Drosophila melanogaster: one gene and its partners. The protein of the gene in region 1 purifies or fractionates together with the protein of each later gene. This does not show direct contact. Each region holds a gene or a part of one and is shown in the gene's direction. Other genes may lie near its edges. The genes, in order: dpn, insb and Sirt1.

Evidence for each region.
Region 2: the proteins of dpn (region 1) and insb purify together in Drosophila melanogaster (affinity purification with western blotting; one study listed by BioGRID). This does not show direct contact.
Region 3: the proteins of dpn (region 1) and Sirt1 purify together in Drosophila melanogaster (affinity purification with western blotting, with the first as the bait; one study listed by BioGRID). This does not show direct contact.

Annotation. Positions count from the first base shown.
Region 1 is NT_033778.4:8,225,230-8,236,249, reverse strand, and holds dpn (deadpan), read left to right. Parts: upstream 1-3,919; 5' UTR 3,920-4,201; coding exon 4,202-4,327; intron 4,328-4,555; coding exon 4,556-4,651; intron 4,652-4,661; exon of another isoform or gene 4,662-5,146; intron 5,147-5,184; exon of another isoform or gene 5,185-5,747; coding exon 5,748-6,833; 3' UTR 6,834-7,279; downstream 7,280-11,020. Other genes in the region: CG34217 (uncharacterized protein), read left to right, coding at 7,635-8,051; LRP1 (LDL receptor protein 1), read right to left, coding at 10,835-10,987. UniProt on the Drosophila melanogaster protein: Transcriptional repressor of genes that require a bHLH protein for their transcription.
Region 2 is NT_033778.4:17,472,786-17,481,870, reverse strand, and holds insb (insensible), read left to right. Parts: upstream 1-5,598; 5' UTR 5,599-5,904; coding exon 5,905-6,435; 3' UTR 6,436-6,657; downstream 6,658-9,085. Other genes in the region: veil, read right to left, coding at 1-496, 558-855, 926-1,220, 1,283-1,539, 1,604-1,754, 1,812-2,047.
Region 3 is NT_033779.5:13,161,878-13,173,562, forward strand, and holds Sirt1 (sirtuin 1), read left to right. Parts: upstream 1-3,686; 5' UTR 3,687-4,113; coding exon 4,114-5,323; intron 5,324-5,502; coding exon 5,503-6,764; 3' UTR 6,765-7,674; downstream 7,675-11,685. Other genes in the region: kmg (kumgang), read left to right, coding at 1-485, 543-1,229; DnaJ-H (DnaJ homolog), read right to left, coding at 1,673-2,326, 2,439-2,885, 2,948-3,016; Sfmbt (Scm-related gene containing four mbt domains), read right to left, coding at 8,575-8,907, 9,436-9,788, 9,862-10,373, 10,439-10,688, 10,766-11,685. UniProt on the Drosophila melanogaster protein: NAD-dependent histone deacetylase involved in heterochromatic silencing. Mildly suppresses the heterochromatin-mediated silencing phenomenon known as position-effect variegation (PEV). Required for epigenetic silencing of the polycomb group proteins.

The DNA of each region.
Region 1 (11,020 bases):
ATTTGATTAACCCAAAATATAAGGAGAAAGTCGATTTTATTCATTAAGTCTATTTATATGTATATTTACTTTAGCTTCCTTAAACTAATTTTATATTGCTTTTTTGGGTGCATCTTTAACGATTAAAAACATACGCGTATGTACTTTCGTACTTTTTTATAGCACTACTTTTTTATAGCACTAAAAAGTTGATTTTCTATTATCGTATTCATCAATGCTAAATACATTTCATTTTTGGCTGGGGGCTTCGAAACTAGATGTTTTTTACGACAGATGTTAGGTCTTGAAATGTGCCACCGCAACTGCAACCGCAAATCTTTACAGCGAACAAATCCCACCTAATCTCCCCGCAACCCTTCCTCGTGTTCATAGTTTTGAGATCTTGAGCAGCTGTTTCGCATCAGGCACACTCCATACGAAATCCATTCGGAGACGCATCTTCTTCAATATTATGTAAGATGCTTGCCAGCAATTAGGGCCCGCTAGAAGCCAGAGGAAAACCCGTGCGCCCCTGAAAAGTCACTATTTCTTAGCGCCGACCATTGTCCGGGCCAAGTCCATTGTTCTCGTGGCTCGAAGAAGTGGCGGGGGATGCAGCCGGGAGAATGGAGTCGGCAGCTGTGCCAATTCTTGGCACGAGAGCAAGGACAGTTTAGTGCAAATGTTGGCTTAGGAGCAGCTGATCCACCAAGTGACCGTTACATCAGCTGGCATGGGTCACCAATCAATGGAATCAATGATATGGATTCGACCCAGCCCATCATGTGTGCTAGTTATTTAGGGTACGCCCAATAAATGTGAAAGTGTTCCTGAAGTCCAATAGCATATGGAATAGATATCAGCTTAAAACGTTCCATTAGATTTAAAAAAAACTTCTGACAATAACATGAAAATTGTAATTGAAGCTCTAAAAAGAAATATCAGCTCCCTATACCCAATAACATTCCAATATGTCTGGCTTTTCCGTTTGTCAACAAACCTTAATTTTCTCATAAGGACAAAAGTTTTAAATATTTAAGTTAGATTGTGCACCCAAATATATATAGCTAAAGGCGATAAAAAAAGCCAAATGTGTGACGAATCCCCTCAGCATATAAATTATTGCATCTTTTGTTTTTTTTGGGTGAAAACACTTTTCCCCCTTTTTGGAGTCTGTCAGAAAGAACTTTCCAGTTATTAGCCCGACTCCTGGCTGGCCATTTATCAAATTCATAAAAATGAAATCTCCCACAGCAGGAAGAAAAACAATCAAATAGTTGGGCGGCCCGTCACGACTTCTAATGCCCCGCAGACCGCACACTTCACTCAGGTTTCCCCTCGTCGCTAAGCGCCATAAAAATCAACAAGGAATTCATTTAAATCAACATATATCTTGGCCAAAGGAGGAGTTCTTCTCCTGCCCCCGCATCCGTAATCCACTTGGGTTTAGTTCCGTTTGGATCAGTTCACACATTTGCTACCGTTTCATATTTTTCATGCTCATTATTTCTGGTGCATATCTATGTATGTGTATGAATGAGAGGTACGGGGGAGTTGCAGCTAGCACACCCCAAGTAATAACTGCAGTTCCCACAGCTAAAAATACATACCCCCAAAGTCACTAATTTGAGGTTGAGAAAGGTCTCCATCTCCGTCTTAGTCTGCCGGTGCCCTCAGAATTGATTAAAAAAGAGGGAAGTAGATCGTCACTGGTCGACAGATCGAAGCTCCCAACCGACCGGGTGTACAATAAAAATTAAAGTGTTTTAATGTGTAAATCGTGCGTTGGAAACGACGCACCGAGGATCCGAGCCCGGGAAGCCCCAAAAAGGAGGACTGACAGATACAGATACAAGCCTGGCTACCGATCGTCAGCGATCGTGCCACACTAAATGGCGTTTACCTTGATCCCTGGGCCGGGAATAAGAAAAAAAAGGAAAGAAAGAAAGAGGAGAAGCCACAGCAGCAGCGGCGTTTGGGGCTGATATTGAACTTTGATTTCTGACTGGTTTCTTCGTTATAGAATTTCAATTCTCAGTTTCTGAAGAAGCTCTGCAGACTCTGCACGTTTCGCCAGACGATTGATCCACATATGTCGGATGGTTCTGAGGTTTCTTCTCCCTGGCCCATGGCACTTTTACATTTTGCCAGCTCATCGTGCTTATTTCGGGTTTCGTGGGAAAATGTTTGCCAAATTTGCGGCGTTCAAAGGAGCCAAAGTGATCGCCATTAAGCAGGGTGATGTGCTCATCAGTGCAGAATTCAGCCGAACCCCATGGTTTAGTTGCTGTGGATGTTTTAGTTGGTCAATCGTAGCCGTGGCATTTATTCAATTTACGAAAGTTGACATCGGATCAGTGCTGCAGAGCTTGTGCATGATGGATGATCGCCACAGATTATTGCTCAACACGGGATTTACGCTCAGGCCGCGAGGGATCACTTTGCACAACCAGGGTTGCCAGGCGGCGCAATACGTTTACGATCCCACCCAAAACTCCCCAAATCGGTCCATAGGTAGATCTACGTCAGCTGTCAGCTGGCGCATGGCCCGCGTCAGTGGTTATTGACAACTCCTTTGGTCGTAATCCTGCCAACATCGTAAAGTAATAAATTTGCCTGAAAAAGGAAAATCTGCCGGGGATCGACTATAAAAATTGGCCCAGCCAGGTAAGCTCCGTAATGATTGACCCCGACCCTCAGTCCCAGACCCACGACCGATCCAGGTCCGATTCCGATCCATTGCAAGTCGCGATTCCGTCCCGAAACCCAAGCAACCCCCTAAGACGCTTCTGCCGATGAGCCGACCAGGCAAAAGCGAAGAATTTGAAACTAAGGATTTCGCCTTGCAAGGGGGTTGGGTTGTCACGGGGGTTGCGGCAGCTGCGCCGAACAATTGCCAAGGAGTTCTCCTTAATGAATTGCAAATCATTCGCCGGGCATTGATCAAGTTTGTCCTTGCCAAGGGTGAAATCTGTGCGACTAAATGTGCCATCAGCCAGCCACCCAAAAGGGAAACGGACACAAACGGAACATCTGTCGCAAATAATGCTACTCACTGATAACTTATAGAAAATCTCACTTGATACATTTTTTAAGGAACTAAAGATTTTTTGCTTTGCTTTAGCAAATTTCAAGTACTAAAGAAGAATCGCTGTTAATTCTCTGAATATAGTTCATATTTTTGTTAACTATTGCTTTAATCAATTCATTAAAAGTAATAAGCAAGTAAAAAGTAAAAAAAAGTAAAGTAATAATATTCATAAGATTTATAGTAGCTTTGTATAATTATTGCTAAATATATGAATATTCTAAAACAAATAGATTGGGTATTAAGTCGGCTTCGACACGAATTAGAAGATTAAATTCAGTTATAAATTTTTGTTAAATTGTAATAAACTTTAAATTCATTAATGATATGTTATTGATTTTAATGCTTAATTTCCTTCAAAATTATTTAATATACAATGCTTGCTGTATTTTACAATAAAATCAACTAAATTTTGTGGGTTTCGTCAAGCCAAAGGCTAATGACTTGGCTTAACCGAATGTTGTGTTGTTTCTCGATCAGGCTCGACTTAGTCTCGTTTACTTGAGTTAAGCTCCTATTTTCACTAATCCCCTGGAATCCGCAATTCGTTGACTCGGCAACTCTGCCTGCCTGGGAATACCTACTCAAATACTCACTTAAATCTCACTCCGAGTGTGAACTCATTGGATTTGGGGTGGTTATGCACTCACTCACTCTCCGATTGAGCGCAACTGCGCTGCTGCGGTGAAAAGTTCTCAGTCTGCGGACGGCGATCGTTGGGCTGCCTACCTGCCTCAGCTCTGCCTCTGCCGCTGCCCGCGTCGCCAGGTAAGAGAGTCCCTCGGTTTCACTCGTGGACTCGTTTCGGCTTCGACCCGATTCGTTTTTAGCTGGTGCCCGTGGACTCGGAGGATCAGTATCCTTTTGGCATCTCGCGAGCGCGGTCGTCTGCCGCTCTCCTTTGAATGAACATTTAAAATACTATTCTATACGATTCGATAACCAGAACGATCTTTAACGCGTACCGCTTGTTAAGTTTTTGTTGTTCGGACATTACTAAGAAGTACGTGCAATAATTGTTATAACTATTTTCGTACTCGAACCAAAGTTATTGTGTTGTGAAAAAGACCAAATCGAAATCGAACTATCTTGGATTATCTCCCACTTGGATATACAAATTAAAATCGTTACAAAATGGATTACAAAAACGATATTAATTCCGACGACGATTTCGACTGCTCCAACGGCTATAGCGACAGCTATGGCTCCAATGGACGCATGTCCAATCCCAATGGATTGTCAAAAGCAGAACTTAGAAAGGTGAGTTCGCTCTTTTGCGATGAAATTGGACTCGCAAACTAAAAAATAGCAGAGTTTATTAGCACCCTCGATCGTTTTGAACCTTTTCATTTTAATGGCTTAGAAAATGTAAAGCATTAAATTAATTTTAAAAATCAAGTGAAACCCTTGTTTTATATAAACAAAGATATCCCTTAAACTGAAATAAATTCCTACGAAATAAACTAATTGATTCCCTTTCTTTTCTAGACCAACAAACCGATTATGGAGAAACGTCGCCGAGCTCGCATTAATCACTGCCTCAACGAACTGAAGTCCCTTATCCTGGAGGCGATGAAAAAAGACGTAAGTATCTTGCCCGAGCGTCAAAGCAGAAAAGGAGCGGTCCGCCCGCGAATTAGAAACTAGCCCCCGATCCCTTTTGGTTCACTTTCTTATAAATAATGTTAGTCCACAAAAAAAAACCTTTAAGGCACAAGTGTCCGAAGGGCGGCAGAACTACAAAAGAACAAAAAAATGTATAAAAAACGAACTCCTACGACACAAGAACTGAAAAAAAAAACACAAACCAAGGGCTCTAATTGAGTATTAAATTTTATTGATGATCATTACACTAGAGCGCCGACGAGGAGTCAGTCAAGAGACCAAAAAGTGTTAACAAGTCGAGGAATTACGCAGAAATCGCCGGAGATGCGAACGAAACCAGTTTCCAAGGAGTGATCCTGCTGTGAGAAACTACAAAGCAGAAATCAAGTAAAATTTGCCGCCGCAGAATTCTGCAGGAGAGCCGGACCAAAAATCAAATAAGAAAGACATTGAGGGAAAAAAGCAAAAGTAAACAAAAGGTTCAGACAGGGGAGCGGGGGAGGTTGAGGGGGCGGGGCTGGCGAGCGACCTGCGTGGGAACCTTTTGCTAAAATATGCAGTCCCAGCGGCGAGAAAGGGACGAACAATCGGGGACCGAAGACTGGCGAAGATCGCACTGCGCGAAAAAAGAAGATCAGGAAGAACGATTTGGAATCTTCTGTGCCCAAAAAGTCTTCATATGAGATCACAAACGATAAGATCGGCGAGTAGTTTATTTTAGAACCACTTACTAAAGACAGTCACTTTTCCATCATTAGTATTCACTTGCCAGAAAATTTGACTTTAAGCCCCCTTTTTGCTCAGTGCACAGTAGCAAGATCAGTCGTTCTTCTCGCTGGAGTTGCTGAATCTCACCTTGGTCGTGTGATATTTACAGAGTGGACTCGACTGAAGTGGACTGCAGATTACACGCGAATAGTTGGACATATGAGGCACGAAACGTGCTTCTTAACTTCGCTTTTTCCCAAGCTATTGAACTTGTTGTAGGGCCCCAAACAATTAGCCCGACCATCTCCCACCCCATCCCCATTTCATCATTATCTGACTTTGGTTCCTTCGTCTTCTATACTTTTAGCCGGCTCGTCATACCAAACTGGAGAAGGCCGACATACTTGAGATGACGGTGAAGCATCTGCAGTCGGTGCAGCGCCAGCAGCTCAACATGGCCATCCAATCGGATCCCAGCGTTGTCCAGAAGTTCAAGACGGGATTCGTTGAGTGCGCGGAGGAGGTGAACCGCTATGTAAGCCAAATGGATGGCATCGATACCGGTGTTCGTCAGCGGCTCAGCGCCCATCTTAACCAGTGTGCCAATAGTCTGGAGCAGATCGGTTCGATGAGCAACTTCAGCAATGGATACCGTGGTGGCTTGTTTCCCGCCACAGCTGTCACGGCTGCTCCCACTCCGCTGTTTCCCTCGTTGCCGCAGGACTTGAACAACAACAGCCGCACGGAGTCATCGGCTCCGGCCATCCAAATGGGTGGACTTCAGCTAATTCCCTCCCGCCTGCCCTCGGGAGAGTTTGCCCTCATCATGCCGAACACAGGTTCCGCTGCTCCGCCTCCGGGACCCTTTGCCTGGCCAGGATCTGCAGCGGGAGTCGCAGCTGGAACAGCCAGTGCCGCCTTGGCCAGCATTGCCAATCCCACACATCTAAATGACTATACACAGAGCTTCAGGATGAGCGCGTTCAGCAAACCGGTCAATACCTCAGTTCCGGCCAATCTTCCGGAAAACCTCATCCACACACTGCCCGGCCAAACGCAGCTGCCGGTGAAGAACAGCACAAGCCCACCGCTGAGCCCAATCTCCTCCATCTCCAGCCACTGCGAGGAGTCCCGGGCTGCCTCGCCCACCGTGGATGTGATGAGCAAGCACAGTTTCGCCGGCGTCTTCTCAACTCCGCCACCAACCAGCGCGGAGACCTCCTTCAACACCAGCGGATCCCTCAACTTGAGTGCCGGAAGCCACGACAGCAGCGGATGCTCGCGACCGCTGGCCCACTTGCAGCAACAGCAAGTGAGCTCCACCAGCGGAATCGCCAAGCGCGACAGGGAGGCGGAGGCCGAGTCCAGCGACTGCTCCCTGGACGAGCCCTCGTCCAAGAAATTCCTAGCTGGCGCCATCGAAAAGTCGAGCTCCGCTTGGAGGCCGTGGTAGATCAACCGCACAGGCCACTTCTATGTTACGTTTATACATTGTTAATTTATTTCATTGCAATTTTTTCAAAGATCACTTCAATGCTTTAGAACCCCATTAAGTTTCAACGATTTCTATATGTTTTTATGTATCCCCGTTTCGCTTTCTTCATTTTAAGTTCAGCTGTGATTTTGTATATTTTTTGTGTAGTTCTCGTTTAAGCGCTTTATACGACTATTATGTAGTTCATTAAATAATTATGTTCTTTAATGTTTCATTAACTGCTCAAGTATTTAAACAATTAAACGTGTTTCTATTTAAGTTATGTAGTTTTCATTGTATAGCGTTTATCATTAGGTCATTCACGTTTCTATATTAGTGTTTTAATTTAACGATTGTAATTTTAACTTTTAGGTAATGCAAAATTCGATGGAGTGAAAATAATGATAATAAAAAAAAAATGCTGCAAAAGAAAAATCCATCCAAATTTAATGGTTCCTTGGTTCTTAACTGATTAGAATTGGAAAATTCAAGATCGCATCAACAATCAATAGTACTTGAACTCATTGAAAAGTCGGAAGCTGAATTCAAATCAATACGGAAACAGCCTTATCATGTATGTTCGATGTTTTCGCAAAGTTTGATTGAAAAGATAACTCAATCGAAAGCTCCCAATCCATGCTATATAAGCAATAGGCGGAACACATTTAGTGTGTCAAAAACTAAATTATTGCAATCAAGAGCGCGCAGTGACTTTCAGGCGTGCATTGAAAAATCTCAGAAATTATAAAAACAATTTAATTGAAAAATTTTAATTTTACCATGCCAGGAAATCTGTTTCAAGTGTTACTAACTGTGGCGATCCTGCCAGCTATTAGTTTGGCATCTAGTTCTGAAGATGGTCTGCACCATTACCGTGCTTCTCCAAAGCTCACGGGTCCTGTGAAGCTCCTACACGATCCCGAGGACACCATTCTGAACACCTTGGATGGCGCTCTGGAGAAGATCTCCACCATCTACATGCAGGCCTTGTTCGCTGGTACCCACACCCCGGAACTGGAAGCCCCACTCCGAGCCCTCGAAATCGAGTTGTTCGATCTGCTGGACGAGCTCTATAATCAGAATCGTCTCAAGGACTATATAAAGTACGAGGCGGAAGTGACGCGACAAATGATAATCTACAACATGCTGAAGAGATTGTTTGGCTACACACAGGAAAATGAGGCTGGATCTGTCTGAGCTGTAAATTCTAAATATGTTTTCTAATTATAAGTCCTTCATCAATGCAAAAGTAGACGAAGTGAATTTTAATATACCACACCATACTATATACTATTGTATAATGCCTAAAATTCTTACTCATACAAATATTCAAGGTTTTTATTTTTTACTTTCTTATGTTACTTTGGTATTATCTTCGATATTTCAAAATAAAGTTAAAGTAAAGTAAAATTTTTGATAGTCAAGGAAATCGACTATCAAGTTTTTTTTTGTTATCTGTACGATTTCGGGTGATATTGTGGCAAAAGTATGTCCTATGGCCTTTGTATAAAATGAACAATTTTACAGGATTTTAATAAACTTAAGCCCTAGAAATAGAATGCGTTAATATACATATCTTTTTTATAATAATAATTTATTAATAATGAAATAGCAATAAATAATTATTTTGCTAACCGTTGGTTAGCAAAACCACTTGGCTAACAAAACATCCGTGTTAGAATTGACCTAAAGTGTTCATTGTGATCTCTTAATGAAAATGATTGAATAAGGTATCCAGATACAAATAGATTTACATCCTCATATCCCATTATTAATTTGTAGTTTCCACTTTAATGCCTTTCCCTTTCGACCCTTTTTTAATTTTTCTTCACAATTTGATTTCACTTCCGTAATAACTTCCGCAACAGCCTGTTCTCGTCCTGCGGCTGCCTTGCGTGTGGCTGTCGAGTGTCGCCCCGCCGTTTAGGGACTCGGATCCTCCAACATTTCGATCCCAGTACTTCCCACACTCAATCATATCGGCGCTGCTGTTACCCGATCCTGCTGTGAGAAAGGAACAACACCTTCGCCGAGCGATCAAAAATTATCATAATTTCCATTTCCTTTTACGCTATTATCCTTTTGCATTTCCCAATACCGATGCACTTGCTCGTTTGTTTCCCACACATCCTTGAGATCCCTTATCTGTGCTTGTTTGCTTTGTGGTGGTTCGCATTTCCCCCACCGCTGGCCTCCTTGCATTCCACTTGTCTCGCTGGATCCTTCGGTTTCATTCCTTTGTGCGCTGTGTGCGCAGTGTTTGCTGTGATTTGATGCTGGGATCGGAATCCTGTGCGTTTTCCGTGGGGTTTCGGCTATCACTTTTGTTTTTACTTTTGATTTCATTCTTGGGAATCTCTGTGGGAACGCGCTCGCCCATCAGTTCGTTCGTATATGAGTTAGGCACTCTACAAAATTTTTGGGCAAACTTGTTCAGCGTTATTAACAGAATTCGTCTTAGCGCCCCCTTAGTTCTTTGTCTTTGGGACTTTGGCATATTTAATTGTCATTTAACAAATTAACTTGCCAAAAATTCAAAAACTCTGGCACTGATTTTCCCACAGACAAATTCTCCTGCTTACAATAGAGTTATTCGTACGGAAAACAAAGTCATGCGGTGTTTCGGCGGAACTCTCCCACACACACATTTTGAATATGCCCCTGTGATCCTTTTCTGCTGCAAGAAAAGGATGAAATGTATCCCGGCTACCTGTGCATCGGCAAATTCAAATCGGCTGCGTTTCTCACAGCCAAAACAAAAATAGGTCCTGAATGGACCCAGCTATCTGCGTTTCTTGGGCCGATTTGGATTTCTTGTGCGTAACAAGTGTATCTATCGGTATCCGTGAGATGGTCGTGATTGAACAGCTTTGCGCAATGGTAAATGTGGAAATGGGCCTCCCTTAGTTTTCCCAGGATATGAGGGCCGTTGAAATTCCTTGAGAAAAAAATGCATGATTGCGGCGTTATTATTGCTTTGTATCGTTTTATTTTATCTTTTCTTATTTCGCCTAAAAGAAACACTCCTTAGCTCTATTTATTGCGAATTGATGCATATTTATTATATTTTTACAGTGTTTATTTGCAGTGCGTTTCTGTTGCGCGTTAGTTAATCGTTTAGCGCTTTACTTAACTTATTACATACATCATTATATGTATAAATATCATTTTTACATTGTATAATTGTTAAAATTTGGCTTTAGTCTGAGCATTATTTTTACAGTATAACCCTTTAGGTTTTAGATCGATTGATTTAAAAATCGTGCAAACTAAATAGTGCTACCGGTTTGTAGTCATAAGTATTCTAGATGTGTGAAATATTCGGTGATGCAATTATTCCTAAGCAATTTGATCATTAATTGATATATTCTGGATGTGCTGGCGTTGTTCGTCCTGGCTTTGTGAATACTTAATTAATTTAAATGCATATTTGGTCAATCTCAAGAGGCGATTTCGATTTCGCCCGCATTCACTAATTGGCAAATTGTTAGTGAGTGCTCGAATGATTCCTCCGTTTAAATGTTAACTAGGCTGCTTTTGGGCAATAAAAGTATAAAATATGTACAACTTTCTCTTCAGCTCGTGGGCTATAACTAAATCTACCGACTACTAAATTTACAGATCCACAAAACGTTTCGGATATACACAGATTCACGTATGTTAAAAATTCATTTATCAAAAGGCGCTTGTAAAACGTGTAAGCAAATAATAGTATAAGGACATCGTTAGGGACATAACAAAGGGAGCAAGGCTGCCCGAGTTATAGCTCTTTGGATGAGGGCTCAGGTCAGCCCAAAACTAAAATAATATCAAAAACAATAGAAGGAAACAAAATATACACAAACGTTTACAAAAGTTCGTTATATGGCTAAACTATCAGTCCATTGTGTTCGAGTTCAAATCATTATTGAGTGTTGGGATGTGGATGTCTCCATGTACGACTGCTCCTAGCACAGCTCTCGGTTGCAGCGGGTCAATCATCAGAGGATGTCCGGCGTGTGATTCTCGTCGTGCGTGTGCTGCAGCAGACCCTTTCGCTCGTCCGGAGCCGTGCTGTGTGTTATTTCAGTGCTCACTGGCTCCGGAATGGCATCCGCGTACATGGATTCGTACACCGGATTCGCAAAGTTACCCTGTAAAATAAACTGCAGTTAGTTGTGGTCAAT
Region 2 (9,085 bases), 9.2 Mb from region 1:
GATCCGGTGTCAGCCTTCTCGTGAATCACAATTCGTTCCTCGATCTCGGGATACACGAAATGGCGCTGCTTCAGGTACTCCATGGTAGCATTCAGATCGTTTCGCTGCATGCTCTCGGTGAAGGGATCCGACTCCTCGATCAGAGTGTAGCCATCGCCGCCTTCCAGCAGGAACTGGGGCACGATCACTTGGTACAGGGCCGTCTCATTGATGCTCTTGTACGTGGGCACGGCGCAGCTGGCGCATAGGGCCTGTGCGGAAACCACTCGCTTGCCCTGCTCATTGTTGTAGTTGTACACCACACGCAGTCCGGACATCTGCAGGAATCCACCATTGGAGTCCTGCAACCTCACAGACGCGGAGTGTTCCAGGGCAGCCAGAAGGGTGCTTCCGAGAATCCTTGTCACGTACAGATTATTCTCGAACGGAAGAACGGCTAAGAGGGTGGCGCCATTGATGACTCCATCATCCTTCTTATCGACGGAGCCACGGATTCCTATAAAATATGTAGATCCACGTAATTTCGAATTTCTCTAATGACACCAAATAAAACACACCTCCTCCCTGCATAAAAGCAATCGCAGTATCTGTCCAGAATTCGCCGCCCTTGTTTTCCAACACGCGACTATAGATCATGGCATCTGTCACCAAGTTGCCAAGGTTGCACTCCCTCATGCGGCAGATGTTGCCGCCCTCGAGAAACACCTTAGTGTAACCCAGAACCGTGTTCTCCAGCTCGTCCAGCTTGGGGCGGTATTCGTCTAGCAAATCCAGGAGATCCTGCTCCTGAGCTACAGAGGCATTCAGCAAAATGGGAGCGCCATCAAACTCGATCAGATTTCCCTCGGCATCAAACTGGAAATATTCGTATTACAATTATATTCAAATTTCTTTAATAATAATCCAGATAATATATAGTGCTTACCTGAACATGAATCTTTCCGAGATACTTGGTATACGCGTATGCCTGAACCACTGGTACCTTCTTGCCGCTCGCCTGCACCACTGTGGTGGGATAGGGACCTCGAACCGCCTCCGGATCAGAGTCCGTGGGATCGGCCACCGGCTGATTGGCATCTAAGAATGTGTGCGAATGGCCACCAATGACTATGTCCACCTCCGGGCAGTTCATGGCTATCTCCTGATCCTTTTGGTATCCAGAGTGACCCAAAGCGATGATGATATTGATGCCTTGAGCCTTTAGCTTTGCGGCCTCCGCACTGCGGAATAAATGAACATGCATTAACATCCTTGCTCTCCAGCGGATTTGAGCTATACCCACTTGATGGACACGATTTCCTCCTCGTACTCCACTTTGTTCCGAAAGGCAAGCACCTTGGTATCGGGCGTAAGGTAACCGATAACGCCAACCTTCACCCCATTTCTCTCGAGGATCGTCGAGTTGGCCAGCTGCTTGGCAGCCGCCATTTCCGGAACATCGGTGAGGTTCAGATTACAGGCCAAAACAGGGAATTCCACGGCATTTAGGAAGGGCACCAAACCCTCAACATTCTGATCAAACTCATGGTTGCCCAGAGACTATTGAAAGGTATATTGATGAAATATAGTAAGAGAATGCGGAAAACAATAAAATAATAGTTACAATAGCATCTGGCGATAGCTTGTTGAGGAAAGCACTGGCGATCTTGTCCTTATAGACGGTGAACCAAGCAGTTCCGGTATAGGTGTCACCTGCATTGAGATAAAACACTGGAGTTCCACCCTCCTCCGCCTCCTTGCGATACTTTCGCACCCTAGTTGAAGTTCATCAGCATGAATAGTTGAACTCTAGGCAAACTGACCGCACTTACTCGTATGCCACCCTGGCGAATCCTCCGTAGCACTGATCCGTATTGGCCTCCTCCTTGGAGCAGGTGCCACTGGTCACACTCGTCTGCTCGAATCGGGCGTGCATGTCATTGTTGTGCAGAATGATGAACTCGGCGGCAACTTCCGCCCGGGGTGCAATGGGATTCGGCTGCACAGGATGAATCAGTAGAGCCAGTAGGCAGCATGATCCGATAAGGAGACCACGGGCAGGTAACATTTTGGTGCTGGAACAATAAACACAACAATCGCTGATAAGTTATCACACACGAAGGGATGAAATGTGGGTGGATAATCTTCGGTGAATAAGCACTGATTCGCGCACGGCAACTGGTTTGTCATAATCATTGTTTTTGCACTCATGAAAATCTAAAAATTTTAATAAAAAATTAATGCACTGCCACTTAATGAAGCGTGTTTTAAGTATTAGTTCGTTTTCTTATCCGAATGGTTTTACACATGTAATGGAAACACTTCAAACGTTGTTAACCAGATTTTCTACTTAGACTGTTGAAGGTCCTTTTCGACCTTATCACCAATCCACTGCTGAGAGGCAAATATTTATCAATCACGAGCGCGCAGAAATCGCAATTTATAGTTTATTGGGTGTTTTAAATCTAATCGCCGCTTATCACTTTGCGTGTGCAAAAAAAAAACACACAAATCCCCAGCACATTCTGCTCGACAAATTTCTGCCATCGCGGTCCACTTCACTCGGTCAACTGGTTTTCGATTGAACTCGGAAACGAGCTCGAACTTCAGCTTGCTCATGGCATTGGCCTAAAAGCTAACTCGGCTCAAAAAGGCCCGATCGATGTTACTTCAGAAGCAACGAATTACCAAATACCAACGATCGCTACTCACATGCACTCGTCGCACGGTCCGCGGGCTAACTGACTGACCCACCAAATTGGCTGAGAGTGCGAGAACCGTTATTAGCCGAAAACATAAAGCCGAGTACCTTAAACAGCAAAACCGAAATTTACTGCCTCGCGAAGCGGACTGATTACGATAAGGCCTCGTATTGCGATTGCGGGTTAAATTGGCTGAGAATGACAATGCGATGCTCTTTCTGCATTACCCCATTGTATTTCGATGTTTTGGAAGCCATCGGAAGCAGACATATCGCGCGATAATCGTCGGTTATAGATCAGATAATGGTGAATTGGCTATATATTTATCTGACTCATAGCCACTCAGACAGAGGCAGGTAGTTGGCCCAACAGTTGTCTAAACACAACGTGACATTCCCACGCCGAAATATGGATTGTACTAAAAAATATATACAGTGCACGCTCGCTACGGAGAATTTACATTCGGCGTAACTCTAGCATCAAACAGCATTTACTTGTAAGTGATCTAAACACATGAATCAAAGATCACGCATTCGAAAGGATATTTTTGGAATATCTATATCTGTAATTAATATTTGCACTTTTGTTTCATAGTAAAACATTTTCACTGTCACGAAATTATATGCAACATGGTTGCTTACCTATATTTAGAGTATTTACTGTACATGTTTATTGACGCACCATTAACAACAGTCCGCCGATTGTGCCGAGTAAGCCGATCTTTGTTATTAATTTCCCGAAAATTCCAAGCAAGTGTCTTCTGCGAACTTTCAGGCACATTCGATTGATGAACAATGAGGCCTGCTTGTTGCACAGATTTATGGCCGCCAAAATGGAAGGATAGATAAATATTGGAAAGATGAATTTCACTCAACAGCCGCGTAAATTACTTTATGAGTTTACTGCGAAGTTCTACCCACACGAAATGATCACAATTGCCGGGTTTTGGGCCACAGTTCATCCCCAAATTATCCGCTGCCACTTGTCGCGTGCTTCTCAAACTGTTCAATCATATAGTATGTATAATGGCTCAATAGACACACGACAGCTGCGGCTGTGGATAATGTATTTGCTATTTACTATTTGCTGCCTGTGTTCGGGCAAATAACTCAAAAACGAAAGGGAAAGGTACAACTTTCCTGCTCGAGATGTCGCCTAAATATATCCGAAAGATACAAGATACAACAGCAATTGAGTTGGTTCGAAAATAAATAGAAGATGCTTCGGCCAAGTTTAACTGAAATGGGGAGAGGAAAACCAGCACGCAATATTACACAATGTCAAGTGTACGATAAAAATGAGATAAAAATAATATATATGATTCAATTTTGATACGCCCTTAACAACATCAAGTGCTTATCAAGTAAATAATGTGTACACACACCATTGCCGACATACTAAATGCAAATATCCAATCCATCCATATCATAAGTTCACAGACTTGACGTCTGGGCGTGATTATTTAAATGCCCCTTCCGAAATTGCGAAACAACAATTCGCTGAGATAGTGTCAAATTCGCAGCCCCAAATAAATCGAATAATGCCCAATTTCCTTGACCATAAATAAACATTTATTGCTATCAATGAGATTGTTTCTTTTTTTTTTTCTTGGGACAGGAGATTCTTCATTTATGGTGTCATCTTATATTTCAGCACTCCCCCCTTCCCCCTTCCAACAAACCCAAAATATAAATCCCTTTATTTTAAATTATGGTCATGATTACACAATGCGCGGACATAAACCATAAAGCGAATTATGTTCATTCCAAATTTTGACAGCATTATCGATTAGCATTTTGGGACCACTCCACCTTTACTACGTTAACAATCGGCAATAAAGCCGATAAGAATTGGTTCTCCATGCCAACGGAGGTAAACGTGATTTCGTTCAAACTAACTCATACCGCATACCAATTTCCATGACAACGAAATTCGAAAATTTCTCGCAGTGCTTTTAGGTGTGCACTTATCATTGCAGTGGCAGGTCAAACTAACTCGCAGGGGAAGTGCCGATCGAAGAGATGAATGTGAAGCGTGCCAGCTGCAAATGCTTATCATGGTCGGGCATACCGCACTGGGGAATCTCCTACAAATATGCACATTAAACGAATTTTGTATGCAAATACGAAAATCTATATTCGTAAAGAAGCATCGTGATCAAAGTTCAAGTGATCAAAGTTCACAAACAAAATTTTAGGTAGCTTATTGGTAGAATACAATGCTTAACGGATACGTTAAATATTACCTAAATAGCTTAACTGTCTAACCTGAATAACTTATTCTTTAAGTGCGTCAGCAGTGCACGTTTTGCCAAGAAAAGCAATTTAAGCAATTACATATATCGGTCGTTGTTCGCTAAAACCAGATCGAAACTCATTTGAAATCAACTGAATTAAAAGTCCAGATTCGTTTATTTGTAGCAATTAAGTTAATTCGTCATTAAATTGACAACTTATACATTCAAAAAAAATTCATGAAAATTTATACGCTCAAAACTTGATTACCCAAGATTGTAAGGTATTGATAATTTATTTATGTCTGCTTTAAAATGTAAAAAAAAGAAAATTTGATTAAAATGCTTTATTTTCGCACACACCCTTCAATGCAACCCTATTAAAAAAAAGGACATAGGAAGGTAACTTGGGAATCGGCTATGCCGCACCGAAAGGAAACGGACACGGGACAACAACAACTGAAAGGTCGGAAAGGACGAGCAGGGCGCGCCTGTGATCCCGGGGGGATGGGGTGCAGGACGGATGCACGGAGGAAGGGAGGATATTCGGAGCGCGGCTGCTGCAGCGGCAGAGAAAGAGAGAGAGAGAGAGAGATAGAGAGAGAGAGAGAGAGAGGTAGAGAGAGAGGCAGCGCCAGCTGAGGGTTGCAATATCCTGCTGCTGCCGTTCAGGCTGTGGCCTGTAGCCAGTATCCTGTTGCCCTCCCGCTTCAGCTGCCGCAACTCAAACAGCTGCAACAATTTTTTTTTTTTTGGTTGCCGATGGATTGTTGTTTTTAATTTCCTTGGCGCGGCACATCCCCTAATGCCACTATCTCTGGTCCCTGCCGCATTTTGGGGTTGGAGTCGGCAGTTGCCAGTTGGTCGCCGGGGTGCAGTTGGTCGCAGCTCAGTCGTGGCGATCGCCAGGTGAACGAAGGTTGTGTCGCGCAGGAGCGAGTTGGAAAACCAAACGATTGCAGCTTAAGTCTAGTAGATCATCCTCTAAGCATGTCGGGCAAACTGATCATGAAGCGCAAGCGAGCCAGCCAGGAGGAGCAGCAGCAGGCGCAGGAGCAACGTGTCCAGCCGCAGGAACAGCAACAGGAGCAGCAACCGACTGAAGCGGTTCCGGAGAAACGCCATCGTCCTCTAACTCCACCAGCAGAAGAGCCAGGGCAGAATTGCCCCAACCCGCCAGATGCCCCCAATCGAATCCTTCTGGAAGCGCTGCAAAAAATAATGGAGCTGCAAGCGGAGCTGGATGCCTTTGAGCAGGATCTAAACGATCGAGATGGCTATGCGGCTGCCGGAGCTGAAGCGGAGGATGTTGAGGAAAGTGACGAGGATGCCGAGGTGGCGGCCCAGTTTGCGCCACCGACGCCAGCCCAAAGGAGTCAGGCGGAGGCACTGGGTTTTGCCATGTGTGCCAGAGAAACATTGCTGTTTCTGCAGAGCGAGGGAATACCCACGGAGTCGCCACTCTACCAGACTCTCCTTGGGAAATTGGTTGGGCAAAGCGATGGACTTCTGCACGCCTGAGAGCAAACCGGAGGGCAGGAACTCCTCCTCATTCTAGTCACTTTGCTGCGATCTCATTGCAAGTAAAACGAGAGAGAGAAACCAAGGGTTGCGAACTTTCCGGGGGTGGAAATTATGCAACACAGGGATCTGGGTATTCCTAAGCTATTTACTCTAGTCAATTATTGTAAAGCAATATAAAACACATAAGCAACAACGAAATAAATTATGTATATTGAAAGTAAAACATAAAGGAAGAGGTTTTAATTAAGATTGGGGGGTTCCATCCTAGCTGGGAATAAAAAAACACTCTACTACATCGATTTTCGATACATTTTAAATATATTTATTTATTCATTTAGTTATTACTTGTGTTATTTAATTTTACATATAATAATTAATGAGAATAACTCAATCGCCATATATTATTTCTTTGAATTCATTTTGTAGGTATGTATATCATATAAGTGTATATATTCTTATTGTTGTTAGGGCGGGGTGTTTTTGTTGTTCGGTTATTTCATTAACTTGGTATCATAAATTATCTGGGGGCTTGGGGAATCGCCCTAAAGTAGCATTTGTTATAATTTCATATTAGTTATCTGTATAATTTGTAACAACGATAATTATTTGTAATAAATGGTTGTAATTCCTTTGTATTATCTGTATTACTGATATTTCATTAAAACTAGATTTTAATTGTTTTTAACAATTTAACGTTTCACATGGTTGTATGTAAGTAAATGTTTCTTAAGGTTTTTGGACAAGATATCGTTTTATTCATCTTCTTATTCGAATTCGAGTATATGTTTATTTCATTGCGTTAGCAATGCCAACTTTATTCGCTCGATACTCAAATTAGGTTACATAAATATTAAAAATGATAATATCTATAAATTGGCATTTCAATTGGTAATTTCAGACCGGGAAGGGATCCGTCCATTGCCATCCACTCCCTCCGAATCCCTTCCTACAAACATTTGGCACACTCTCTTGGTTCTACTTAAGCTCTACAGAGAATTCTCATTAATCTAAAAACTAACTAAAGTGAGAAAACAGGAAACGAAATTTTGAGTTTTGGCAACGGATCAAATTGTCGATTACGAGTTATGTTTAGTTTTGTTACTTTTGTTAGTTCAGTGTATAATTAATGGAGACAACTGGACAAAGCAGACGACTCATTTTTGAACAATTGAGGAAACGAAATTTTGGGTTAATTACTTTGCTTTATCCAGCGTCATGGGTTAAATGTGTTAAGTACATTGAATTACATTGTTATTACGTTAATTTTGTATTGAGTTACATTGTTGGTTTAGTTAGAACTTTATATTCGTGTATAAGTAAATGGAGTATTTGTTATTCATACGCTTACGCTTGCGTTTAAGTATTCTTTTTTACTCTGTTATTGTTTTCGTATCTGGTGTTTTAATAAAGTAATCATTTGCAGCACTATCCACTTATGGACATTGTTTCACAATAAACTTGTATATATTTTGTAATTTGTTAGTTATTTGTAGTTCTTTAGTATTCGATATATTAATTCTGAATGCTCGAGTATTAGATAATTTTTGTTAGGGTTATTCTGTTACCTTTCGTGTCAACATGGGGTTAGTCGATCTCTGTTAATTATGTAAATATTAGAATTTGTAAGTGTATATATATATATTCTTTATCTGTATCGTTAGTTTTGTTAAATATATGCATATATAAATAAAATTATGGTTTAAGTGTGCCCTCTGTATTTATTATTATATTCTATTAAGTTAATTAATCTCATAGATTCTGTCTCTACCGACCGTCAGTCGGGTCCTTCTTTCCCTATACATAGCTTTGTCTTGCTGTATCAACTGGATTCGCTCTGTATCATCTGTACGCCAGACTATCCCAGCTCAACTTTGAGCTGAGCCGTGTGCTTAACTACTGATCACTCCCGACCGAATACAGCTCCCACTAATCATTCAGGCTCTTTAGTATCTTTAAGATGGTTTGTAAATAGAGATAAAAAACTGGACACAGTTTCGTCTGTGTTTTATAGCCAACGCGAAAGTATGGTTTTCGATTTGTTGATCCAGCCTCATCATCATTAAACGTTAATCCTTGCACGCAAAAATATATGTATAAATATATTTGTTATGTATATGTTTTGTATGTGGTATATATCGTAAAGTTCATTTTGTCCATTTTGTAAATACTCCTCCTACGCCTTCCTCTAATCTTATGAACTCAAGTGTACAAAGTTTCTGTGATGTTCATGTTGATGTGATTTTTCGATTTGCTTGTTCTGCTTGTAGTTCTTGTATCTGTTGGGTTCAGAAAAACTGCACGGGCAAGAACGGAAATGTGCCAATATGTAGCGAAGGATTAGCAGGTCTGTAAGAGAATGTTAATTTGGATTTAGAGAGATGTTCTTGTCTTTGATTTGCGGTGTATAATCGAAAGGGTTTTTTTTGCGTTTTCGGATCAATGCAAATCAATACGGGAACTTTGACGGATAAGCGGAGAGGTATATGTATGTTAGAAGCAAGCAAGCGGATTCACATAAAGCCCGTGTATTCATTTGCATTGTCCAAAGACATCGATTTAGTGTGGGTTGTGTGCAAGGACGAAGGAGTTCTCTTCTGCGTTCGATAATATCGCATTTCAATACCTTACTAAGAGCATATTGGGCACT
Region 3 (11,685 bases), on another chromosome or scaffold:
CCTACAAGTGGAATCTAGACCGGCACACCAAGAACCATGGTGCCAATGGCCATTTCAAGTGCTCGTGCTGTGACTTTAGCACGGATATCAAACAATCGCTGACCATACACGAATCAAACCATCATGTGCCCATGCCGGTTCACCAAATGGGCAACCGAAGCCGAGATGAGGCTGAGGATCTGGTGGATCAGCAGTCAAGTGGTTCCAGGAAACCAGAAACGTTTAAAAATGGTGGTGCTACCGTTGCATCGACAGAATCTCTGCTTCCCCGGACTTCGGGGATCGTTTGTTCACACTGCCAGAAGCGGGTGGGCAATGCCATGCAGTTGATCAACCATCTACAAGTGTGCACTTTGGCCTTGCACAACACCACCCAACTGCAGGCTTCTATCAACGCGGAGGTGGATCTTCACGATGAGGACTTCCCCAATGCTCCCACTGATCTCAGTTATTGCGGCGTAGAAACAGCTCCTGGCTATGGGGAGGTAAAGTCCATATATATATAAGTACATGGTGTTGCAAACTTATCCCTTTAATTTCAGGTCACAGAAGTTTTGCCAGAGGAACCCGAAGATTTGGCGCCATTGAAGAAGGTTTTTAAGTGTCCTCATTGCAGTTTTTGGGCAGCCACTGCATCTCGCTTCCATGTCCACATCGTTGGTCATCTAAATAGGAAGCCCTTTGAATGCTCTCTGTGCGCCTATCGCTCCAACTGGCGCTGGGACATCACCAAGCACATCCGTTTGAAGGCCCTCCGCGATAGATCCCATAACCAGGCCCAGGTGCTGATGAACGATGAGACCGGTAGGCGCAACTACGCCAAGTACAATCAGTATCTGACTATGATGAAGGTAAGCGCCGAACAATTGGCCGATTCGAAGGGAATGCGCACGGGTGAAATGATTGTGATGCCGCCGGAGAAGCTAGACGACCATCATCCCATGGAAACGGAGGAGATCATCGAGATGGTGGATAGTGCTCATTCGACCTCGGCACTGGATTTACGAAAGCCCAGGGATGACCAGACGGAGGACTTGGCAGGCAACAGCGATGAGCTGCCGCAAGAGGGAGCCAAGACGGAGCCAAATTTAGAACCCTTGTCATTTAAATCATTGAATTCATCACAAGTCATGCCAAAGCCCAAAGGGTCGCCTATGAATTTGACCAAGACAGATGGTGGTCAATCAGACGAAACGACATCCGCTGATGAATCCAATGAAAGCGATTAAAACGGATCTTTCGAATCTTTGAATACTCAATTCTCAGCAACAATATTAAAAATTAAATAAAAATACGTAAATCGATTTAAATTTATCCGGTTTTTAAGATTTCTATGAGAGAACTATTATTGTGTATTCGTTTATAGTTTTGTAGGGATAATTGGGGCAAGTTCAGCCCAAAAAATAGGTACCAATAAATAAGTAGTTAATAGTTAATTTAGCGTGGCTAATGTATTAGTGACAGATCAGCTAAGCTTTAGTCTCGAATAATAACACTACGAATTTAGATCACGCGCTTTTCACAGCAAACATTCCTGTATGAAAAATAATACTATGCATATCAGGACGAACAGCGGCACCAGGAAGCAGACTTCATCTACGCTGAAAGTGCCCAGGATGAGCCACAAATCGAGGCAGAGATACCGCGCCTGCAGGAGCCACAACCACATGCACTAAGCCGTCTGGCACTGTACGCCCTCAAAGTGAGACGACTGTCCGTCCTCGTCTTCCTGCTGTCGTGGCTGCGGCTTATAGTCCGTCATTTGCACTTCCTCGGCGTTCTTTGGGATCACTATCGGCTGTCTGGGAGGGAGTAAGTCCTCCAGCATGGCCAACTGCGGTGCCGTGGCAAAGTCGTTGTCCGGAAACTTAACCTTAAACTTCATGTAGAGATCTCCACTGTCGGTGGCCTTGTTAAAAACAGGCATACCACTGCCTCGCACCATCTTGATCTGGTTGTGCTGCAACACTTCACCAGGGTACGTGCGCAGACAGACGTTTCGTCCATCCAAGTGCTTGAAACAATGCGAGTAGCCGCACAAGGCCTCCGTGATGTTGATCTCCAGGTCTCGCATGTACAGATTGGCATGGCGGCGCTGAAAGATTGGATGTTCCATCTGGGAGATGACTACAATCAGATCCCCAAATTCGCCGCCTCGCATTTGGTGGCCCTCATTTGCGAAGGGAACTTTTAGCATGTGCGGTGCTCCTCGCTCCACAACCAGGTCCCGCTTCATCTTCTGCTCTACGAAACCACTGCCCTGGCAGGGACTGCACTTCTTGTCGTCCCTTATGGTGAAGCCCCTGCCATCGCAAGTCGGACAGGTCTGCAAAAAAAAATAATTTAAATAATCTGCTCCGAAGTGTGGTATATGGGATCTCCACGGATGTGTGGTCCGCGGTGTGCATTCACTACAACTACAATCAATTCTTACATACCGTATCGAAGGGGCTGAGACCCATGAAGGTAAATGCGGCCGCTCGTCCAGCTCCGCCGCAGGTCTCGCAGCTCTCGTGCGCTTCCTTGGGACCGCCATCGCCGTTACACTTGGAGCACAGCTTCTGGCGATTGTACTCCACCTTCTTCTTCATGCCGCCGACGTAGATCTCCTCCAGGGTCAGCTCCACTTTTACCACGACTTTGCCATTGCGCCTGCCCCGACCTTCGGACGAGACTCGATCGAAGGGGAACCACTGGGCGAAGAATTCGGAGGCATCAGAGAATCCCTCGGCGCCCTCTTGCAGGCCCTTCAATCCATATCGGTCGTAGATGCGCCGCTTCTCGGGATCGGACAGCACTTCGTAGGCGAAGGATATTTCTTTAAACTTGTCGCCCGCATCGGGATTCTTGTCTGGATGGAACTCTTTTGCCAATTTTCGGTAGTTCTATTGGTGAAAAGGTGAATACAAACTATTTACCAACATATCGAATTGGAACTGTTACATACCTTTTTTATTTCCTCATCAGTTGCATCCGGAGCCACTTTAAGAACGTCGTATAAATTTAGGTTGTCCATTTCCTATTGCATCCCCAGTCCCCCTACAAACTAAAATATTTTGTACATTGTAAGTGTACGACTTATTAAATTATTTAACAATGTATTTATGACAATATTTTCAAGTCATATTGGCTAACAAGTATGCCCAAGTTCTACCAAAAACCTATAATTTTGGGGAAAGTACCAAATAAATACTTAAAATCGCAGCTTTTTTGGGGAACAGTAGACACTTGCTGGAACGTTCTGGAAATCTGTTTACACATTTTTGTATTTAACAGCTTGATGGAAGTTTTTGGACATATGAACTGCATATTATCAATACATCAATTTATAATACTACTATGAAATGTGTAAATATTGGACAAAAAAATTATTTTTACTTAATTGTTTAAATATCGAGTAAATTTGATAAGTAAAAGAGTGCTAAAATTAAAGTTCGAAGCATAATTTAAAATTAATTTTACTAACTTTTTGACAAATTATTGATATATTTTAAACAGTTTTTAAAGAAATGGATTAAATTAGATATGACATAAGGCAGTGGCCACTGTAGCAACACGTAATCACCCTCAAAAATCCCAAAAAATACTAAAAACATACCGTGATGAGTCATGCTGGCGGCACTTTCCATGCAGAAACGCGTTAGCACTTTCCACACGACGTGTCAGGGTCCCACCCGAATCACGTCTGCCAGCCCACATACACACACAGGCGCAGCTACGTGTGCCATCTTGCTTTTTTCATCGGAAAATTTTCCAGAAACTACGCTCGAAAATTACGAAAAAATCGCAACCAAATGGTGTCGAAATTTTTTTAAAATTTAAGTTTCGTGCATATACGTGAAATAAAGTCGGGTTGGTTGAAAAAATCGCGGCCAAACGATCGCTGGAGAATTTTTTCAATCAAGCCAAATGGGTGCGAAGCTGACGACGTAAAAATTTTTGTGTGTACCAACGAAAGAGCGGAGAAAACGGACGAGGCGAGAGCGCAAAGCGGAGAGACCGAGGAAACACTCGCGCAAGAAGAAGAAGAGCCAGCAACAGCACCAACTACGAGAGTTTTCTCTCCGTGAGTCTGTGTGTGTGCGCGTGTGCGCGCGCTTGGGTTCGGAAAAAATGATGGAAAATTACGAGGAAATTCGCCTGGGCCACATTAGGTCTAAAGATCTGGGCAACCAGGTGCCAGACACTACGCAATTCTATCCGCCAACTAAGTTTGATTTTGGCGCGGAAATTCTGGCCTCAACGTCAACAGAGGCAGAGGCAGAGGCAGAAGCAACAGCAACAACCACAGAACCAGCAACAAGCGAACTTGCTGGCAAAGCAAATGGTGAAATCAAAACAAAAACATTGGCTGCCAGGGAAGAACAAGAGATTGGCGCCAATTTGGAGCATAAAACCAAAAATCCCACAAAGTCAATGGGCGAGGATGAAGATGACGAGGAGGAGGAGGAAGAGGACGATGAGGAGGAGGAGGAGGACGACGAGGAGGGAATCACCGGAACGAGCAACGAGGATGAGGACTCCAGCTCAAATTGCTCCTCATCCGTGGAACCCGACTGGAAGCTGCGCTGGTTGCAACGAGAATTTTACACAGGTCGTGTGCCGCGCCAGGTTATTGCCAGCATTATGCCGCATTTCGCCACCGGCCTGGCGGGCGACACCGACGACTCCGTGCTGTGGGACTATTTGGCCCACCTGTTGAACGAGCCGAAGCGGCGCAACAAGCTGGCCTCAGTGAACACCTTCGACGATGTCATCAGTTTGGTCAAGAAATCACAGAAGATCATTGTGCTAACGGGAGCCGGAGTATCCGTCTCCTGCGGCATTCCGGACTTCCGGTCCACCAATGGCATATATGCGCGATTGGCCCATGATTTTCCCGATCTGCCCGATCCGCAGGCCATGTTTGATATCAACTACTTCAAGAGGGATCCACGACCGTTCTACAAGTTTGCCCGCGAGATATATCCCGGCGAGTTTCAGCCCTCACCCTGCCATCGTTTCATCAAAATGCTGGAGACCAAGGGCAAACTGTTGCGCAACTACACACAGAACATCGACACCCTCGAGCGGGTGGCAGGCATTCAGCGAGTAATCGAGTGTCACGGCTCCTTTTCAACGGCCTCGTGCACCAAGTGTCGTTTCAAGTGCAACGCTGACGCCCTGCGGGCGGACATATTTGCCCAGCGAATTCCGGTGTGCCCGCAGTGCCAGCCCAATAAGGAGCAGAGCGTGGATGCCTCGGTGGCCGTTACTGAGGAGGAGCTGCGCCAACTGGTCGAGAACGGCATCATGAAGCCGGATATCGTCTTTTTCGGCGAGGGTAGGTGCCATTTTTATACAGATTTATTATATATTATCAATAGCCTTGGTAAAATAAATGCAAGAATTTCAAATTCGACGATCAAAAGAAGTGTTTATTTAAGAGATAAACTATTGAAAATACAAAGTAACGCTATTTACCATATATCATATTGTGTTTGCTTTTCATATTGCCAACAGGACTGCCGGATGAGTACCACACGGTCATGGCCACCGACAAGGACGTGTGCGATCTACTGATCGTGATCGGCTCCTCGCTGAAGGTCCGACCTGTGGCCCACATTCCCAGCAGCATACCGGCCACGGTGCCGCAGATTCTTATCAATCGCGAGCAGCTGCATCACCTTAAGTTCGATGTGGAGCTGCTGGGCGACTCCGATGTGATCATCAACCAGATTTGCCACCGGTTGTCGGACAACGATGATTGCTGGCGGCAGCTGTGCTGCGATGAGTCAGTGCTTACCGAAAGCAAGGAGCTAATGCCTCCGGAGCACTCTAATCACCACCTCCATCATCATCTACTTCACCACCGCCACTGCAGTTCAGAGAGCGAGCGACAGTCGCAACTGGACACGGATACGCAGTCTATTAAATCAAATAGTTCGGCGGACTACATACTAGGATCAGCTGGCACCTGCTCGGATAGTGGATTTGAGTCATCTACTTTTAGCTGTGGAAAGCGTTCCACTGCCGCCGAAGCGGCAGCCATCGAACGTATTAAAACAGACATACTGGTTGAGCTGAACGAGACCACAGCCCTAAGTTGCGATCGTCTGGGCCTGGAAGGCCCTCAGACAACGGTGGAGAGCTATCGCCATCTTTCCATTGATTCCTCCAAGGATAGCGGCATCGAGCAGTGCGACAACGAAGCCACGCCTAGCTACGTGCGACCCAGCAATCTTGTTCAGGAGACCAAGACAGTGGCGCCCAGCCTGACGCCCATTCCACAACAGAGGGGAAAGCGACAGACAGCAGCCGAGCGTCTGCAGCCTGGAACATTCTATTCGCACACCAACAACTATTCGTATGTGTTTCCAGGAGCCCAGGTATTCTGGGACAACGATTACAGCGATGATGATGACGAAGAAGAGGAAAGATCACACAATAGACACAGTGATCTCTTTGGCAATGTGGGGCACAATTATAAGGATGATGATGAGGATGCATGTGATCTGAACGCCGTTCCATTGTCACCATTGCTACCGCCTTCACTGGAGGCTCACATAGTCACCGATATAGTGAATGGATCCAACGAACCGCTGCCCAACAGCAGTCCCGGCCAGAAAAGAACCGCCTGCATTATAGAACAGCAGCCAACGCCCGCTATTGAAACGGAAATTCCCCCACTAAAGAAGCGGCGACCAAGTGAGGAAAATAAGCAGCAGACCCAAATAGAAAGATCTGAGGAGAGTCCGCCTCCAGGACAGTTAGCAGCAGTGTAAACGTAATCTTAGCCCCTGCTAGTAGTGTAGTATTTATTTTAAATGCAATTCAAGCCAACTTGTAAACAGAGAAGCTGCGAAATCGTAGCCGAGGGCCATGTTACCAATTTCATTCCCCGGAAAGGTACTGGAATCGGAAACGGTAAACCGTTTACTTGTTATTTATTTAGAATATGAGAACACTTCAATTCCCGGTATCACGAAGTTTTCAAGAAATGAAACCGGATCCACTAGTTTACTCAATTCGAGGCTTTAGAGATCTGACCCTCGTTGCTTTACCACCAACCCCTTATGCCCAATCCCGTTTTGATATTTTTGAAAAACTCTTAGTTTATTTATTATCTCTCTTTTTCAAAACGAAACGCTGTAAATGTTAGTATTTTATTATATTAAGTTGTTATTGAGGCCTTTTTAGACAAACTAAAGAGATAAGCGGAAAGTTGAAAATCCTTTAGAAAGCAGGATTTCTTTGTATTCAAAGAGAAGCAGCGCCTCAACTTTAAATCTAGTTCTAAGCGTAACATATTCAAAACTATGCAAATGCAAACGGAAAAATACGTTAGTTTTAGTTAAAAACTAGACACAAACACTCTGTATATAAGCACTCGCCCCTAATTTGTATTGTACATGATTCTTTTTCTACTTTTTTGTGTTATCTCCTTACCATTTTATATTTCTATCGGTTATGGCAACTATTTTTTAACATTTATACACTCGCACCCACATCAAAATGTAACAGCGCATGGATTTCAAAATATTCATAAGAGTTGGAAATTTGGTGTGCGTGTTTGAAATGTTTATTCGAAACCTAGCATAAATATATAGCCACCAAACGCAGTGTAAACATAGCAGTAAGAATTTAGTCTATATGTCTTAAAAGTGTATTAATATCCAGAATATAAACCAATCTAAAAAAAAAAAAAACAGAAATGAAAATGAGTTTTGACTGTAGAGCACATATAAACCCAAAGAAAACCAACACATATAAAAGTTAGTCGGCGATATTTCAATACTTGCAATTTTGAATTCGGTTTTATTAAAGTATCTTGACATTAGCTGGTACCTTAGGGATATCTAAATACATATTTTATCATTAAGGTTGCCTTCTTCAAAAGTTTGCCTTACACCAATAATGCCCTCCTTGCAGAGATGTGTGACACCGGAACGAAGTTAACCGAAGGAGAGAGCGGCTAGTTAATCGTGGATCTTACAGACTAGGAGCGACTTCCAATCGCTCCGTTTACGACTGAAAGTTGAGGGCATGCTGCCTGGGTTATTTGCTTGCGCTTGCTTCTATATAAAATATGATATTCTTGGGTCCTATATAATCGGCGACGGCTTATTTTATGTACACTGTACAAGCCCATGCTATGCAATCTCCCCATATATTCATGTGAATACATGTGTTGCATGCATTGTTATTACTCTTATTTTTATAAAAATATGCGTGATTTAAAAAAAGTCACTGTCATCAATTCAATCATCTTTATACAATTGTTGATATAGAACTCTGACTGATATAACATGAGCGTACGCCTAAGGTCTACGGTTTACAATTTAATCGGTATAAAATAACGCGCTGTGAGACTTGAGTTAGTTATACAATTGTATCATGGATGGTTGATCCATTCTAGGCAACGTTTGTGTTTCGATTTCCAGTGCTAACAAAATACTTCAATATCTATATATCTATATATATATATATATATATTATATATGCATACGCAGTAGTGTACACGTATAAAAGTGTGTGTGTGTGTTCTATCGGTGATAACTTTCGTTTTGCTTTGAAAAAACTAAAATCCGCGCACTATAAAAACGGTGATTTGTTGGTCTTGTGGGATCTGGCTCTGCCCGGATTAACCTTGCACTTAAGCTGTGCAATAAGGTCGGAAATTTTCAGTGCTGGGCCCACCTTCATGCCCAACAGTGGCATGATATCGTCCTTGGTCAGCTGCAGGAGTCGCTTTCCGTCGATCTTGTTCCGGCTGAACGTGTCACAGTGGGCTGTGCAATCGTTCACCCGCAAGAACTGGGATACGTCGTACACGTTCCATGTATCCGGCACCAGCTCCAAGTGAGGTTCACTCGAATCGATGTCGGCCAGACGCGGAATGTACTTATTATTCGTCGCAGAGGAGTTCTATAGTGGGGTAAAAAATAAGGACTTAATTAGTTAACGTATGATGTTGCATTGCTGGTTGGGTGTGTGACGGAACGATTGGATGTCGGTGTGTTGGGGCTATTGGGGCTGTTGCAAGTACCAAAAATAACAGTGCGTAAATTAAATTATATACAAATTGGCGTTTTATGAACGATTTGATTTTGGTTATATACATTTATGCAGTTGTGTTACGGAGCTTTAGCACAGTGGTTTAAGTTGGGTCGGACAATCTATTTCATATGAAATAACAAAAACTTAAGCTAAACAAGGCAAACTTGGATTAATATGGAGTATTTTGGTGTATAAGCTGATGCTTCTATTTCGAAAAAAAAAGGCAAATAAATTAAAGGGGAATTCCTCTAAATAAAATTTAATTAATGTTTAAAACAAAAACCACTATGCTCTTTGGACCTCCCGTTTAGATGCGTGAGCTGAACTTCAGGCGGGCAAGCAGGCTGGCTGGCTAGATGGATGACTCTACGCACTATTATTCCGCTAAGTACTCACCGCAATGTAGCTAGTGGCTTTGCGACCCACAGTTGGTGGCGCAGGAGATTTAGTAGTAGATTTCTTTACCGTTTTGTTACTGCCCGTGGCGAGAGTTACCAGCGAGGCGGACCCACTTCCACTGCCCGATCCAGCGATCAGATCACTGGACGACTGTGTCGTTGACTGCTCGGAGATGTGGCTGGTGCTTCCGTCTCCATCGCCATCCGCATCGGGATCCTCCTCGTCGCCTTCCTCCTCGGGCTGATTGTTCTCGTAAAAGGCAGCATTGTGATGCTCCGGCTTTAGCTCCAGCTTGATGCTCAGCTTGGGTAAGTGCGGCGTGGTCTTGAGCGCAATTGTACGCGATTTGACTGGAATAACATTTGAAGATGCATGATGATATACAGGAATTCGAATGACTTTGATTAGAAAAAAAAAACTTACCCGACTGAGTATTATTATCGGTTGGAGTTTTGCCTCCCGCTGCTCCCTTTTTGGGCTTTCGCTTTCGCTGTATTTTGGGCTTTGGTGCCGGTTTCGGGGCCTGCTGATGTGCTACTCTCGGTGGGCCCTCTAGCTTATGGTTGACCAGTACACACCATCCGACTGGATATATATCGGCTGATTCGCAATCCAACCACTGGTCGTACTCATCCGTCCATCCGTCAAAGTGAACCTTGAGTAGTCGACCAACCACTCGCGCCACCGTGGCCACGCAAACGAGTCGGGGATCCATGAGATCTGCACACTCCAGACTCATACCCACCTCAAATCCATGATCGGGAATAATCCGATGAAATAGATGCTGGCCAGCGGCTACGGCTCCCGTGTCGCGGAGGTAACCCTCCCAGGTGAATGTACGAGAGTCGTAGCCGTTCGGTGGGGTAACCGAAATGTTGTTGACGGAACAGAATCCAGCCGGAAAGATACACGGACTCTTTTCATGGTAACAGAACCTAAAAAAAAATACAACAGAAGCTATTTAGATTTGCCGACTTAAATTGAAGCTTTTAAAGCTCACCAATCCGACCCTGAGGCATCCGGTTGGTAGGAATCAATGCGTATCATCATGTATCCGAACTTAAGAACCGCCATTACTGTAGCCGGGCATATGGATGAAAGGTTGAGTGGATCCACCGCTTCCAGCTTCATGCCCTCCACAAAGCTATTGGTTTTGCCGTCACTGTAGTATTCGTCGAAGGTGAAGTTCATCTTAAACAACTCGATTGTGGCATCGTCCTCATGAACCTCAATCATGGCTTCGCGACCAGCTGGAAGTAGGAATGGTATGTAAAATGTTAAAATGGTAATGTAAAAACATGTATGCAGAAAAAGTAAATATTATTACCTAACATGCGCTCCAGATAGTCCTGCGGTGCAGCCAGATTATGGCCTACTGTGGTTGCCCAGCCAACTGGATGGATGATGGGCGAGTCCTCGTGACACCAAAAGCCGTCGTCGGAATCGAAGTAGCGCAGGAAGAGGCGCTTTCCCACGATTTTGGTGACGGTGGCCAGGCGCACCTGCGAAATGCGATCCTTGTCCACGCACTCGAGATTCAGGCCAAGGCGGAAGCGCGACTGGAGGCTGTCGTTGATTTTGTTGTAAAAGTTGGAGGGAAGGGTGCGGGCTCCGGATAAACGTCCCACCAGAAAGTCCTTCCAGTCCTTGTACTTGTGCTCGATGGTGCGGGGCGGAATTAATGGCTTGCCCCGAGTGGCGCACCAACCCACCGAATGCACCTCGGCATTGCAGAGGTTCACCCAGAAGTCGTGCGAGTCCGTATCGAAACCCTCGTAGCTCATTAAGGCCTTATAGCCTTTGATTTCCAGGATGGTGGCCACCCAAAACGAGGTAGGAGTCTGACCCGGTTGGATCACTTCGATGCTATCGCAATCCGTATTTTCCACTTCAACCTTCATGCCCACGCCCAAATTGTCCCATACCTCGCAACCGGGTGCATGAGGAAAACAAGTGACGGGTGCCGCATTGAAGTTCTCCTTGCTAAGGCGGGGCAACCAGTCGTAGGAGTGTGTGGGATCATACATGCGCCGCCGAATGCTGATTATCTTCTCCATTTGCGGACACGGTACGGGAAGGCGCTCGTATTTGGGTATTTGCGGCAGGTCATCCTGTGGGTAGATGTCCTTAAAAAGTCGCAAGGCCTTGGGCGTGGGTGCTGCGCTCAGATAAGAATTGGGTGTGGATGCACCCTCCTCGGTGCTGCCCGGAGCAGTGGCATCGCCCACTGCTCCGCCGTTTAACGCA